Oryctolagus cuniculus: one gene and its partner. The protein of the gene in region 2 purifies or fractionates together with the protein of the main gene of each other region. This does not show direct contact. Links are inferred from orthologs where the notes say so. Each region holds a gene or a part of one and is shown on either strand. Other genes may lie near its edges.

Evidence for each region. The genes of interacting proteins can lie anywhere in the genome.
Region 1: the proteins of MMS19 (region 2) and DNA2 purify together in Homo sapiens (affinity purification with mass spectrometry; 3 studies listed by BioGRID and IntAct, counting the BioPlex papers as one, with this or other methods). This does not show direct contact. The link is inferred for Oryctolagus cuniculus from reciprocal best matches to the Homo sapiens genes MMS19 and DNA2.

The regions. Positions count from the first base shown.
Region 1 is NC_091446.1:60,349,388-60,356,924, reverse strand, and holds the start of DNA2 (DNA replication ATP-dependent helicase/nuclease DNA2), read left to right. Parts: upstream 1-2,942; 5' UTR 2,943-3,077; coding exon 3,078-3,151; intron 3,152-4,772; coding exon 4,773-4,955; intron 4,956-7,101; coding exon 7,102-7,285; intron 7,286-7,537. UniProt on the Homo sapiens protein: Key enzyme involved in DNA replication and DNA repair in nucleus and mitochondrion.
Region 2 is NC_091446.1:32,352,177-32,359,511, forward strand, and holds the start of MMS19 (MMS19 nucleotide excision repair protein homolog), read left to right. Parts: upstream 1-3,503; 5' UTR 3,504-3,564; coding exon 3,565-3,679; intron 3,680-7,335. Other genes in the region: UBTD1 (ubiquitin domain-containing protein 1), read right to left, coding at 2,613-2,682. UniProt on the Homo sapiens protein: Key component of the cytosolic iron-sulfur protein assembly (CIA) complex, a multiprotein complex that mediates the incorporation of iron-sulfur cluster into apoproteins specifically involved in DNA metabolism and genomic integrity.

The DNA of each region.
Region 1 (7,537 bases), about 28 Mb from region 2:
AGCTCTGTTTCCAGTTCCAGGGTTCTGCTATTGCTCAAGTACTTGGGTCCCTGACATTCAGGAAGGAGTCCCAAATTGAGTTCCTGGCTGTTGGCTGCGGTAGCTGCAGCTGTTGGTGGGCATTTGAGGTGTGGATCAGTGGATAAAAGATTTCTCCAGTTTTTTTTTTTTTTTAAGATTTATTTATTTTATTTGAAATGCACAGTTACAGAGAGAAGAAGAGACAGAGACTGAGAGAGGTCTTCCATCTGTTGATTCATTCCTCAAATGGCTGCTACCCCATCAGAGTGCCTGGTTTTAGTCCTACCCACTCTGCTTCTGATCCAGCTTTCTGTTCATGTGCACTATGGGAAGCCACAGATACCTGATGGCTCAAGTATGTGAGTCCCAGGGCTGGTGCTGTGGTGTAGCAGGTAAAGCCACTGTCTGCAGTGCTGGCATCCCATCGCCAGTTCAAGTCCCAGCTGCTTCACTTCTGATCCAGCTCTCTGCTATGGCCTGGGAAAGCAGTAGAAGATGGCCCATATCCTTGGGCCCCTACACCTGTGTGGGAGACCCAGAAGAAGCTCCTGGCTCCTGGCTTCAGATCAGCACAGCTCTGGCTGTTGTGACCATCTGGGGAGTAGACAGGTGGATGGAAGACCTCTCTCTCTCTCTCTCTCTCTCTCTCTGCCTCTGCCTCTCTGTAACTCTGCCTTTCAAATAAATAAATCTTTAAAAAAAGAAAAAAGTGAGTCCCTGCCACCTATGTGGGAGATCTGGATGGAGTTCTGGGCTCCTGGCTTTTCGCTGGCCCAGCCCTGGATGTTGTGGGCAATTTGGGAGTAAACCAGCAGATGGAAGATATGTCTCTGTCTCTGTCTCTTTTCTCTCTTGCTCTGCCTTTCAAGTAGATGAAAACAAATCAAATTATGCATTTTGTTCATCCATTTATCTGTTTATGGGCACTGAGTTTTTTTAACTCTTCGTTTATTGTGAATAATGACACTCTGAACATAGATTTACAATTCTCTGTTTGAGTCCCTACATTCAATTCTTTTGGGTGCAGATCCAAAAGTTAAATTGCTGTCTTGAGGCTGGTGTTGTGGTATAGCAGGTTAAGCCGCCACCTACAAAACTGGCATTGCATATGGGCACGTGTTCAAGTCCCAGCTATTCCACTTCCAGCTCTGTTAATGCACCTGGGAAGGCAGCAGAAGATGGCCCAAATACTTGGGCTCCTGCCACCCACGTGGGAGACCCAGATGGACTTCTGGGCTCCTGGCTTTACTCTGGCTCAACTGGTTGTTGCAGGCATTTGGGTAGTGAAATAGCAGATGGAAGATCTCTCTGTCTCTTTCTCTCTGCGTAACTCTGCCTTTCAAATAAATGAATAAATCTTAAAAAAAAAAAAGTTGCTACCTCATATGGTAATTCAGTGTTTATTGTCTTTGAGAAACTGCTGTCCTTATTTATACTCTTTAGATTTATTCTCATTTTCTTTCAAGTTCTTTAGGCGCCATCTGCTGCTTCCCAGGTGTATTAGCAAGAATCTGGATCAGAAGTGGAGTAGCTGGGGCTCCAACAATTGGCACTCCGTTATGGAATGTGGGTTTCCCAGGCAGCTGCTTAACCCACTGTTAACAGCACAACAAAATTCTTTTTTTTTTATTTTATTTTATTTTATTTTTTTGACAGGCAGAGTGGACAGTGAGAGAGAGAGACAGAGAGAAAGGTCTTCCTTTGCCGTTGGTTCACCCTCCAATGGCCGCCTTGGCCAGCGCGCTGCGGCCGGCACACCGCGCTGATCCGATGGCAGGAGCCAGGAGCCAGGTGCTTTTCCTGGTCTCCCATGGGGTGCAGGGCCCAAGCACCTGGGCCATCCTCCACTGCACTCCCTGGCCACAGCAGAGAGCTGGCCTGGAAGAGGGGCAACCGGGACAGAATCCGGCGCCCCGACTGGGACTAGAACCCGGTGTGCCGGCGCCGCAAGGCGGAGGATTAGCCTAGTAGCCGTGGCGCCGGCCAAAATTCTTTTTTTATTTAAAGATTTATTTTATTTATTTGAAAGAGTTACAGAGAGAGGTAGAGACAGAGAGAGAGAGAGGTCTTCCATCCGCTAGTTCACTCCTCAGATGGCTGCAATGGCCAGAGCTGCACCGATCCGAAGCCAGGAGCCAAGAACCTCTTCCGGATCTCCCACGTGGGTGCAGGGGCCCATGTACTTGGGCTATCTTCTGCTGCTTTCCTAGGAGCATTAGCAGATAGCTGTATCTCAAGTGGAGCAGCCGGGACTTGAACCAGCATCCATATAGATGTCTCCAGCGCAGGTTGTGGCTTTACCTGCTAAGCCATAGTACAGGCCCCAATCTAACATCTTTTAAAGATGGGAGAAACTGGGTCCTATTAAAAATGTGGTAGCAATCCAGTAGTGTGGGTGAGGTTGATTACAGGAGAGAATGAGGGAGTAACTGAAGCAGCAATGCCATGGACAGTGCCAGAAGTCCGGGGTACGGGTTGGGGGAGTAACCATTTCTGGGAGGAATACGTATTCACCATTGCGAAAAAGTGTGGAAGGGTCGTTAAGACGGGTGCAGATCTTGGAAGTTTTGTGGATTTCGTCGCTGTGTTACGAGGGAGTTCCTATCCAACGACTTCTCTTTTTCTCAACAAGTTTTCCAGCAAAAAAAAAGAGATTGTTTCCCCGCGGATGTGAAATTCCAAAGGCCAGCACAGGCAGCTGGTTTGGGCGAACTCCAAATGCTGCTGCTCAAACCAACAGCGTGTGTCTGGCTCGGGCCCGAGCTCTGAGAGCGACGGCCTTGCGCTTTTAGCCTGGGCCGGGTATGAAGACTCCGGTTTTGCAGGCCTGGGGCCAGGAGGGCCTCAGCCGGGCAGGTGCGGCGCTCCACGTGTAGCCGCCGGCGCTGCCGGGCCCGCCCCGCGCACGTCACTCGGGGCCTCGGCGCGCCGGCGCATGCGCCCTTGCTGCGCGGACGCTCGCCCCTTTCCCGCGTTTTGGCGGTTTTTGTGTTGTTGCCCGCCGTCCCCCCTCCCCTGAGGTTCCCCGGTGACAGTCTGTGGTCTCCGCGCCCGGGATGGAGCCGCTGGACGAACTGGAGCTGCTCATGGAGAAGACCTTCGGGGAGGAGGCCGCGCCGCCGCCGGAGCTGTGAGCGGAGGCGCGGGGAGGCTGTGGGAGCGCAGCGGGAGATTTGAAAGTCGGGAGCGGGAGAGACCGCCGCGGCCCCGGCTCGCACCGGGGACCCCGCGTCGCGCGGTGCTCTCTGCGGGCGCACTCGGCAGCTGAGGCTTTCCCTTGATTTCGCCTCTTTGCCGAATGTGGGGAGTCCCGGCCTCCTGCGGTAGTGTCTTCGTACGTCGATGGTTGCTTGGTTGTGAGACTAACGTCAGGGAGAGCTCCGAGCCCTCGGCTTAGCCGCAATGGCGGGTGTCGGAAGGACAACCAGGCTAAGCAGTGCCTGCGCCTGCGGTTCTCCGTCTGCACCTTTTGCAGAGACCATTAAAGCCTCGCGGCCAGCCTTGGGCTGTTCGTGGGCTGCAGCCAGGTGGGGTAGCCTAGTGCAGCGTTCACAGAGCCGTGCAGCCTTCCGTGAGCGAGCTGGGTGGCCTGTAGCGTTACAGGAAGGCTGTTCGGTACACGCCTTGCGGGAGATAATGGCTCTGGCCTCTCGTTTGGCCCCACACCGGTTAACACCTGCTGTGGTCGAACAGAGAGGACTTCAGAGGGACTTACTAGGAACAGCGCGGGTTTCTACAGGAGAATTCTTTTGTAGAGTTTCAGGCGGCTTGGACAAGTGCGTAAAAGGATTACCAAATTCACTGGCCCTTTATCAGTAAAACATCTGGTTATTCTATGAACGAGTGAGCTAGTCTCGACGGGTGTGACAAGCTTGCTTTCCCGACCACGCAGGGACTAGCCCCAGGTTTATAAAAGTATTTCCTACCCTAAGTTCTAGGTTGGGCTAGACGATTTCTAAGCAAGCTCCTGACTTAAAGACGAATGTAGTTCTGTGTCTCAGGATTTCCAGCAAACCACACCTACCATGCTTACCTCTCATCTGTAAGTCACCCGTACGCCTCACAGCACAGAGAATAGTGTACAAAACGTCTTGTACTAATACTTTGGAAAGGCTTGCTCCAGTGGTAGTCATTGTTTAATATTTTCCATTTTTTTAAGGCTACTTATTTATTTTGAGAGGTGGGGTTACAGACAGGGAGAGGGAGAAACAGAGGAAAAAATCTTCCATCCACTGGATCACTCCCCAAATGGCGGCAATGGCCGGAGCTGAACCGACCCTAAGGCAGGAGCCAGAAGCCTCTTCCAGGTCTCCCATTCGGGTGGCGGGGCCCAAGCACTTGGGTCATCTGCTGCTGCTTCCCAGGCCATCTGCAGGGAGCTGGATAGGAAGTGGAGCAGCCGGGACTGGAACTGGCGCCCATATGGGATGCCGGCACTGCAGGCAGATGCTTAACCTACTACGCCACAGCACTGCTCCCCTCCCCATTTGTTTTTAATCCTGACAGTGATAGATGGTCCACAAAACTCATAGAGGTTAAATTGGAAAAGCTCTTAGCATAAGCTTGTTTTAAAATGGCATTGCGTCTGGGAAGTTTTTATAACAGGAGTTCTTTGCTGTCTTAATTTTACCTGAAGATCTTTGTGAAGAAGCAAACCTAGAAAGCTAGACAGCTGCTTTACAGGTGAAACTGGTTGAGTGGCTTGTTATTTCATGTTTGTGCTAAAATTGTTTTGTATGTATATGTTTTAGATTTCAGAACAAGGTGGAAGCTTCCTTCCCAAAAACAGTCTTGAGCCGAGGAATGGATAACCGATACCTGGTGTTAGCAGTCACTGTTGTACAGGATGAAGAAGGCAGCCAGGAAAAGCACTTAATCATCACTGCTTCCCAGTCGCTGGAAGACAAAGAACAGTGCATCCTTAGGAATGGCTGGTAATTTTTTGTGTGACTTTGAGCATTGAATTGGCAATCTTCAGGGTAGCATCTTAAAACCCATCACATGGCTTGTGTGGATGTTCCTATAATTTAATGGTGTAAAAAAGGGATAGCTTAAAATAGTTATTTATTTGACAGAGAACTTCCATGTACTGGGTCACTCCCCAAATTCCCACTCATCTAAGACTGGGCCAGGCTGAAGGCAGGAAGCTAGGAGCACAATCCAGATCTCCCATGTGGGTGGCAGGAATCCGATCGCTTGTGCCCTTACCACTGCCTCCCAGGGTCTACATTAGCCAGAAGCTGGAACTAGGAGTCAAATGGTGGTACTGTGATGTGGAACATGGACATCTTAACCACTAAGCCAAATGTCTAATTCATTAGATTTAGTAGATTTGAACCTGGCTTAATTTTACATGAAAATTGTATCTATTACCCCAACATCTGTAGACTCTTAATTCAAAAATTTATTATTATTATTATTGGGAAATCAAGTGAAGGTTGAGTATCTCTTATCCAAAATACTTGGGACCAGAAGTATTTCAGATTTTGATTTTGTCATATTTAGAATAGTTTCACATACATAATGAGATCTTGAGGGTTTGACTCAAGTCTAAACACAAAATCCACTTAGGTTTCACATACCCATAGCCTGAAGGTAGTCTTTTTTGTTTTTTATTTAAAGATGTATTTTATTTATTTGAGCAAAAGAGTTATAGACAGAGCGAGGGAGAGACACAGAAAGGTCTTCCATCCGCTGCTTCACTTCCCAAATGGCTCTTGCAGCTGTGGCTGAGCCGATCTGAAGCCAGGAACCAGGAGTTTCTTCTGGATCTCCCATGTGGGTACAGTGGCCTAAGCACTTGGGCCATCTTCTACTGCTTTCACAGGCCCTCAGCAGGGAGCTGTTTCAGAAGTGGAGCAGCTGGAACTCAAACCATAGCCCACATGGAATGCCGGGCAGAGGTCTAACCCTGTACATCACAGTACCGGTCCCTGAGGTTATTTATCTATCTATTTTTTTTCTTTTCTATTTTTTCTTTTGATTTTGTTTATTTGTTTGAGAGATATAGACACAGGGAGAGTTAGAGAGAAAGGTCTTCCATCTGCTGGTTCAGTCCCCAAATGGTCACAATGGCTGGAGCTGAGCCATTCTGAAGCCAGGAGCCAGGAGCTTCTTCCAGGCCTCACACGTGGGTGCAGGGATCCAAGCACTTGGGCCATCTTCCACTGCTTTCCCAGACCACAAGCCGAGAGCCAGTTTGGAAGAGGAGCAGCCAGGACATGAACCAGCTCCTATATGGGATGCTGGCACTCCAGGTGGGGGCTTAGCCAACTACACCACAGTGCCAGCCCCTGAAGGTAATCTTATACAGTATTTTTAGTGCACGTGGGTTTGACTGTGACCTGGCACACAGGTGTGGAAATTTTCACTTATGATTTCATGTTGATACTCAAAATACATTAAATTTTAGATATTCAGATTAGGGATTCTCAATCTGTCTTAAGGGGCAGTGACTGCAGTACATTCTGTTTTAAGGTTGTTAGTTCTCAGTAACAGCAAAATTAATTGCAATGTAGGAGCAGTCTCAAACCTTAGATGTCTCTACTCAAGATGTGGTGCATGGGAGGTGGGAGGAAGATGCAGAGAAGGTGGAGGCCTAACTTTGTCTTTGCCTTGGCTGTGAGTGAGATTGAACTAAATAAAAGTGATGTTGTTCTTGCTGCACTTGGTTTGGCTTTATACCTCAGAATAAGTGGAAGCTATAGGACTTAAGAATGACAAAATTAATGATTTAAACAACCCAGTTCCTAACTGGATCTATCTATATATTACACTAGCATAGATTTGATTGCTTTTGGAATAGACATTACTAGCACTAAGTAAGTTGCCTCTTTGGTGCTTAAGCAGAATTCTTGCATATTCTGCAGGATGCTTCACCAGGTGAAAAGGGATGGTGCGACTAGGAGTTGACTCAAAAGACTGCATCTTGGTATTTCAGTTTTTAACAAGACCTAGAAACTTAGAAATACTTACTGTTTCTTCAGATAAAACATTCATTAATTTTCAAAGCCTTCTTTCTAGGTTTTAATGTAGGCACTTAAACTATGTGTTTATCCTGTCATTTTGTTTAATTTGCAGGTGTTCTGTTCCAGTACAGCCAGGGGATATCATTCATTTGGAGGGGGACTGTACTTCTGATACTTGGATAATAGATGAAGATTTTGGATATTTGATTCTGTATCCAGACATGCTGATTTCCGGCACAAGCATCGCCAGTAGTATTCGATGTATGAGAAGAGCTGTCTTGAGTGAAACCTTTAGGGTAAATAACATTTGTTTTAATATTTATTTCATTGTACTTGTTTATTTTCCTAAATATCCCCTTTACTTATTTGAAAGGCAGTGACATAGAGAGAACTCTTCCATCTATTGGGTCACTCCCCAAATGGCAGCAATGGTCAGTGCTGGGCCAGACAGAAACTAGAACTCCATCTGGGTCTCCTGCCTGGGTGGCAGTGACCCCAGTGTTTGGGCCATCTTCTGCCGTTTTTCCAGCTGCATTAGCAGGGAGCTG
Region 2 (7,335 bases):
GAAAGACACAGGATTCAAGGTGGACCATGAAAAGAAGAAAGTCTACCCTTAAGAAGGGGAAATGGCAAGAGCAAACACTGATGCCCTTAACATCAGGAAGGAAAAGAAATCGGGTCTTAAAAGTCCCAGCCAGACTTGACAAGGAAAATTCTTGCATGAATAGAAGGTGCAGAAAGATTTCTGAAGATAGAAACTACAGAGTTTGGGACAGGGTGGTTTTAAAAAAAAAAAAAAAAGACTTTATTTATTTATTTGAAAGGCAGTTACAGAGAGGCAGAGGCAGAGAGAGATGTCTTCTATCTGCTGGTTCACTCCCCAGATGGCCGCAACGGTCAAAACTGGGCCAATCTGAAGCCAGGAGCTTCTCCTATGTCTCCCATGTGGCTGATTTCACAAACACCTTCTGGGAGGGGACTACCAGCTGTGGGTAATGGATGAATGAAGACAAACTTACTTGCCTTTGGTGGAGACCGCACTTCAGCCTAGAAGAAGAGTTGGACCTGAGCCGGTGACAGGGGTGCGAAGTCGAGTGGGAAGGAGCAGCTTCGCAAGACCTGCAGGCCTCAGTGACTGGCAGGTAGACAGAAAGCAAGTAAGCCAAGATGTCATCTAGACAGTCCTGAGAGGCACAGCTTAGGCAGCTGAAGAATGTAAGGAAAGAACGCAAGTGGCTGGCAGGGAGAGATGCAGACTTGCATTAGATCTGAGGTCAACATCAGCATCTGGGGGCCTTTAGAGATGTGGGTCCGGGGTACAGGGGAGAGGTAATAGCTGAAGATCAAGTGTAAGAGTCTTCCCAGTCGAGGCCGACTTTTGTGGCATAATGAGTTAAGCTGCCGCCTGCCGCTCCAACATCCCATATGGGCACTGGTTCGAGTCCCAGCTGTTCCTCTTCTGATCCAGCTCCTTGTTAATGCACCTGGGAAAGCAGCAGAAGATGGCCCAAGTGCTTGGGCACCCACATGGGAGACCTGAATGAAACTCCTGGCTCCTGGCCTCCGCCTGCCCTAGCCTGGGTCGTGGAGGCCATTTGGGGAGTGAACCAGTGGATGGAAGGGCACTCTGTCTCTCTCTCCCTCCCTCCGTCCCTCTCTGTAACTCTGACTTTCAAATAAATAAAATAGATCTTAAAAAAAAAAAAAAAAAAAAAGTCTTCCCAGTGGACAAAGCCATGGGAAGGAGCATAGTAAGAGAAAAAGTGTTCAGACTGCACCGCAGGAGTCCCGCTCCTCTGAGGTGGCAGCGCCAGTGGGCAGGAGTGACCAGACAGGAAAACCAAGAAGGCAAGGGGGCAGAGTTTCAAGTAAAGGCAGGTGTCAACAGAGGAAAATGCTACAAAATCAGTTACCAGGGCTCACTGCAAAAATAACAAATATTTGTGGGATGAATGAAAGAACGGAAGGAAGGCAGGAAGCCCTTGAGTTGCCCATCCACTTTCCTCAGTCAGAAGAATGGCCCGGGCTGCCCTCCGACACCGGGGTTTCGGAGTTAAGTCTCACCCCTCCATCCTATGAAAACACGTCTCTTCCGCCACAAGCCATCCTGTGCACCGCACAGACATCCTTCCCTGCCTCCCCGACGGTTTCCCATCCTCCTTCCCGGCTTCCGCGTCGGAGCAGGTGGGAAACTGAAGTTCCCACTTCATTCACAACTCTGCGTCCGGCTCCCCTTCCACCAAGGGCTATGTGGCAACGGGCAGGAGGAGCACGCTGGCCGCCAGCCCCACTCGCACGGCTCACTCGCTGTGTGACTTTGGACAAACCCGCCAGCCTTTCGGGACCCAGCCTTTTACTCAGAGCGGAGGAGGCGGATCTGTCTGGAACCCAGACAAGTTTCGGCGCTCCTCCGAGCACTACAGTCTATGATTTTATCATTCTCAGAAGGTCCTTGCAACACCCTCGGAGAAGGAAGTGAGACCCAGAATGACCGCCGGCCCTCTCCGAGGGGCCGAGCGCCAGGACTGAAGGGGCGCACGGCGAGAGTGAGACGGCGCGGCCGGTCCCGCGGATCCCCAGAGGGCGCGGCCCCCTCCCAGCGCTGGCGCGGAGCCCCGCAAACCCGAGGGCGCCTCTCGCTCCGCACCCCACCTCGCCACAACTCCCAGACGGCCAGGAGGCTCTAAAAAGCCCTGCGGGGGGAAAAAAAATAAAGATTTCTTTCCCAGAGTCCTGCGCTGCTTTTGCAAGTCGGATTCCGGCAGACGCGATCCGCAGCCCGAGAATGACACAGTCAGTCTCGGGAAGGAGCGACCGACCGTGCCGAGTCGTGGGGCCGCCCGGCAGTTCGCGCCGCGCCCCGACGGGCAGGCGTCCGACCCCGGCCCGGGCTGCCAGGCCGCCGGCGCCCTCGCCCCCGGCCCTCCTCCCCGCGGCGGCCCCGCTGCGGTCTGCGAACATTTCCTGCCCCCGCCCCCACCGGCCACCCGGAGCTTCCCAGTTGGAGCGAGTTGGTCTCGCAGCCCGGTCGGCGTCCCCGGCCTCGTCAGGCTCGGAGCTGCGCTGGGAGAGCCCAGGCGCCAGGGGCCGTGGGAGGTCGCGCCGGGAGCCCAGGGCCCCGGCGAGCAGGGGCCGACCGGCGAGGTGCCCGTGGCCCTGCTCGTTCCCCGTGGTTACCTGCTCGCTTGCGGGGGTGTCCTGGGGCGGCTGGCCTCTCCCCGCGCTGTCTCCCCACGCAGTTGCCCATGCTGGCTCCTCAGCCGGTCCCCATGCACCGGAGGCGGCGGGGTGGTCGGCTGCTCCGCGCCCCTGCCCCGGACGGCGGCGTCCCGGGTCAACGGCTCCTGCCGCCCGGCATCTGACGCTCCGGATCTCCCCCCGGGGGGGCGCGCTCTGCCCCGGCGCCGGCCTCGCCACAAACTTTGCGGACCCGGGGAGGGAGGGAGGGAGGTGGCCGACTCCCCTGCTCAGTCCCAGGTGGCCGGGCCAGGGGGGCCCGCGACGGTGCCCGGCCGGAGACCAGCCCCGCTGAAGGGGCGGAGAGAGGGGGCGGGCACCGCCGCAGCTACTCCCGGCTCGCTTGGGGCTCCCAGCTGGGGCCGGCCCCCCGCAGCCTGTCACTCACCTGCCTAACCCCGCCCCAGCCCGGCCCCACTCCCTTCCGCCGGCTCGCGGTGCCCGCGCCGCCGCCGCCACCCGCCCCAGGTGCGCATGTGACCGACGGCACCGCCCCCTTGGGCCGGGCCTGATTTTCTCATTGGCTTCCCCCAGGGTGCGTACCGCCCCTCGGCCCCACCCAACCAGGTGTCCTCCCCGCAGCCCGTCTCCCGGGGAGCCGGGCCGGGAATTATTCGCCCTCAATGGCCCCCGACTGCGTGCCCAGCGAGCCGCCTTCGCTCTCCGCGCCACCGCCCCGGCCCCAGGCCCCACCCCTCGGGGAGGGGCCTTCCCTCCCCTCCTCTACCCTCCCCTCCCTGGAACTGCCCGATCAAGAGCTGGCGGCCACGTGATCCAGGGAGCGCCCCGCCCCCGCGGCATCCACCCAGCGATTGGCTCAGGGGGCGCGTGCGCAGACAAGCCTGTCTCGCGCCTCCGCCTCCTTCCCCTCCCACGGTCGCTCGTTAGCGTCATGGCCGCCGCCGCCGCTCCCCAGGAGGCGGCGGCGCCTACGGGCCCCCTGTGGGGACTCGTGCAAGACTTCGTCATGGGTCAGCAGGAGGGCCCCGCTGACCAGGTGGCTGCAGGTACGGCAGACAGCGCCGGGCCCCTTCCGCTTGGGGGCCGACAGGAGGGAGCGGCCTCAGCACAGGCGCGGAGCGGGAAGGGAGTGAGGGGCAGGATGACTTTGAGAGATCAGTCTCAGGGCTGCTTAGTGAGCATCGAGCTTAAGAAGCGTAACAAGTTGGAGAGTCGCGCGCATCTTCCATACAGCGCTTTTACTCTCGACGTCTCCTCACAGCCAACGGTAGACCGTCATTACATGTCACTGACGAGGAGACGCAGGCCCGGAGAGCTGCGGCGCGGGCGGGAGGGGAGCTGGGGCTCAGACTCGGGAGTTCAGGTGGCTCGGGCTGCCGGCTCCGGGAGACCACATTGTTTGTGGAGATTGACGTGGGGAGGTGACTGCTGGGCGCGTCCGCTCGCGGCGCGCGGCATCTTGGGAGTGGCTGTAGTCGGAGCGAGCCGAGCGGCCAGTCGGGGCAACTGGAGGTGGTGTCGCATCCGCCTCTAGACTTTCCCTCTGTGTCTTGGTGAAGTTCTTGATTACTTTTGCATCGTGACTTTTGTGCGGCATTATTTTTATCTTTTTCCCAGATCCCCTGTCTCCTCTGCTTTGGACCTGTTCAGGGAATCTCTTAGTTCTGGCAGTTTGTTAAAGATTGGAATAAAAATCCTAGACTTGCTTGGGTTCTGAGACTTAGCTCATTTAGGGAAAAAAAAAATCTAAAACTTTCAACCAGTCATTCCACCATTATTGAACACGGTCTCCAAAAATGATGCAGAGCAGGACTATAAATACAAATTAGATCTGTGCCCACCAAGAACTTGCAGTGTGTGTGTGGGGGGGGGGGGGAGAGACAGCCATGCTATAAGAGGTAAATGCAAGGTGGTCTGCAAACATCACACAGCAAATGTCTGATGCTGCCCCTATTTATTTTTTTATTTGAAAGGCTGTTACAGAGAGAAAGGGAAAGATAGAGATTGATTGAGAGATCTTCCATCTATTGGTTACCCTCCAAGTGGCTGCAATGGCCCGGCGCTACCGAAGCCAGGAGCCTGGAACTCCATCTGGGTCTCCCATGTAGATGGCAAGGGCCCCAGCACTTGGGTGATCTGCTGCTTTTCCAAGCACATTAGCAGGGAACTAAAACAGAAATGAAACAGCCAGGATACTGGTATCACAGGTGACAGTTTAACCCACTGTACCTCAATGCTGGCCCCTAAACTTAACATCTTTGTTGCTCCCCCTCTTCGTGGAGGAACGACACAGGACCCTGTGCTGTTCTTTTCATCTGCTCGGCCCTCCCCGGGTTTGCTGCTGGTTCTTCCCGGGTTGGCTACTATCCCTTCCACCTCCGTGGAAGGGCAGTTCCCCCTGGCCACATTCCCCACTTCCGCAGGGGAGCGGCACACCGCCGGCCGGCTTTCTCGGGGGCTGCACGGGTTTTCCTTCAGCTAGATGTTCCCCATAGATGTTCCTGGTGCATGCCGTCTCTCTCCTCCTTTATAGTCCTCCTCCGCCAATCCTAACTCGGCTGCCCACACGCCGAGTACGCTGCTCTCCTCCAATCAGGAGCAAGTCCTACAGTTTATTAGTTGAACTGGAGGCAGCTGCGTAGAAGCTGTTTACTTCTCTCCCAGCGCCATATTGTGGGAGAGCAGATGCATAGAATAAGTCCTAATTCCAGTAACTCAGTCTAGTCCGGTTGCTCCCCACAGATCCCCCTTTCTTTTTATTTTTTGGCGTTGATACGCGCCTGTCTTCGGTGTCCCGCGGCACACACTCTGCTCTACTTGCTAGAGTTGCCACAGGCTCTTACAAGTCCTATCAATCAGGCAAACCGAATCCGGGTCCTCTCTTCGCCATGTTGTGAGGAGGTTTTTAGGCGCTGATGCGTGCCTGTGTTCGGTGCCCTGCAGCGCATGCTCTGGTCGAGCCTGCAGGGGCTTACAAGCCCTATCAGGCAAACCGAATCCAAGCCTTCTCATTGCCGTATTGTGGGGGAGACTTATTAGTGTTGGTTCGTGCCTATCTTCGGTGACCTGCAGCTCATACTCTGGTCGAGCTGCTTGCTGGTGCTTACCGCCTTAATTAGGCAGACCGAATCCAAGCTTTCTCATTGTTGTATTGTGGGGAAGCCTTACTGATGTTAATTCGTGCCTGTCTTCGGTGACCTGCGGCGCATAAGCTGCTAGCCGCCGCAGGTGCTCATCGTGCTCATCGCCTCACTTAATCAGGCAGACCGAATCCAAGCTCTCACAGTGCAGTGTTGTAGGGAGGCCTTTCTATTTCTCTATTTCTCTATCTCCGGGCATTCCTATTTCTCCCATTTTACTTCTATCTTCCAGCATTCCTATTTCTCTCACTTTGCTTCTAAACTTCTGTTTCTCTTATCCCCGCAGCTTCCCGCTGCCCGCCCCGAGGCTACTTCTCGGCGGCTTCCCGGCTGAGCCGCTTCAGCCCGCGCCTCTTTCATCTGCGCAGCTTCCCGGCTTTGCGCGGCTTGGCTTCGCGCGCTCCGCGGTCTCCACGCCCTTTGCGTCTGCACCACGGCCTCGCGCCAGCCCCGTTCCCTATCTATTCACGCCCCGTGCTCTCTCTGCACGCGGCGGCTTCCGCGAGTAACACAGCGTAGCTTACGTGTCCGCCACTAGCATTCAATCTAAGTTCCCCGGGCTAGCCTGGCGAATTCAACCCAGCATACGTCTCCGCCCCACGATTTGGCTTCCCGTCCTTTGCTCCCCGGGCTAATCAGACGGATCCCAATCTGGCTTACGTTTCAGCTTCTGGTTTCAACTTTTCGCCCCCCATTCCCGGGCTAACTTGAGAATCCCAAAGTGGCTTTCGTGTCCGCCTTGGCCTGCCCCCCACGGCTTCAATTTCCCTAACATTTTTCTCTACCCGGTATGTTTCCCCAAACTTTCCTCCAACGATATTCCTCCCTCATTTCTCCTGGCCTCTCCCCACAGTCCGCGTCCGAGTCTGTTTGTTCTAGCTTTCACTTTCGACCTTAGAGATTTCTCCCAGCTTCCCCCCGTAGTCCGTATCTGAGTCTATGCCTAGGCTTTCAACAGCTTCTTCCGGCACCCTTTTCGTCCGGCTTTTCCCTAGGCTGTTTACTAGTCTCTCCTCCGGTATTTTCCCAGTTCTTCCCGTTTCTTCCCTCCTAAGTTTCCTATCCGTCCTAGGTTTCCTATCCAAGCTAGGTTTCCTATCCGAGTCACGGCACCATCATGTCGCTCCCCCTCTTCGTGGAGGAGCGACACTAAACCCTGCCTAGGCTTCATATCCGAGTCACGGCACCATTATGTCGCTCCCCCTCTTCGTGGAGGAACGACACAGGACCCTGTGCTGTTCTTTTCATCTGCTCGGCCCTCCCCGGGTTTGCTGCTGGTTCTTCCTGGGTTGGCTACTATCCCTTCCACCTCCGTGGAAGGGCAGTTCCCCCTGGCCACATTCCCCACTTCCGCAGGGGAGCGGCACACCGCCGGCCGGCTTTCTCGGGGGCTGCACGGGTTTTCCTTCAGCTAGATGTTCCCCATAGATGTTCCTGGTGCATGCCGTCTCTCTCCTCCTTTATAGTCCTCCTCCGCCAATCCTAACTCGGCTGCCCACACGCCGAGTACGCTGCTCTCCTCCAATCAGGAGCAAGTCCTACAGTTTATTAGTTGAACTGGA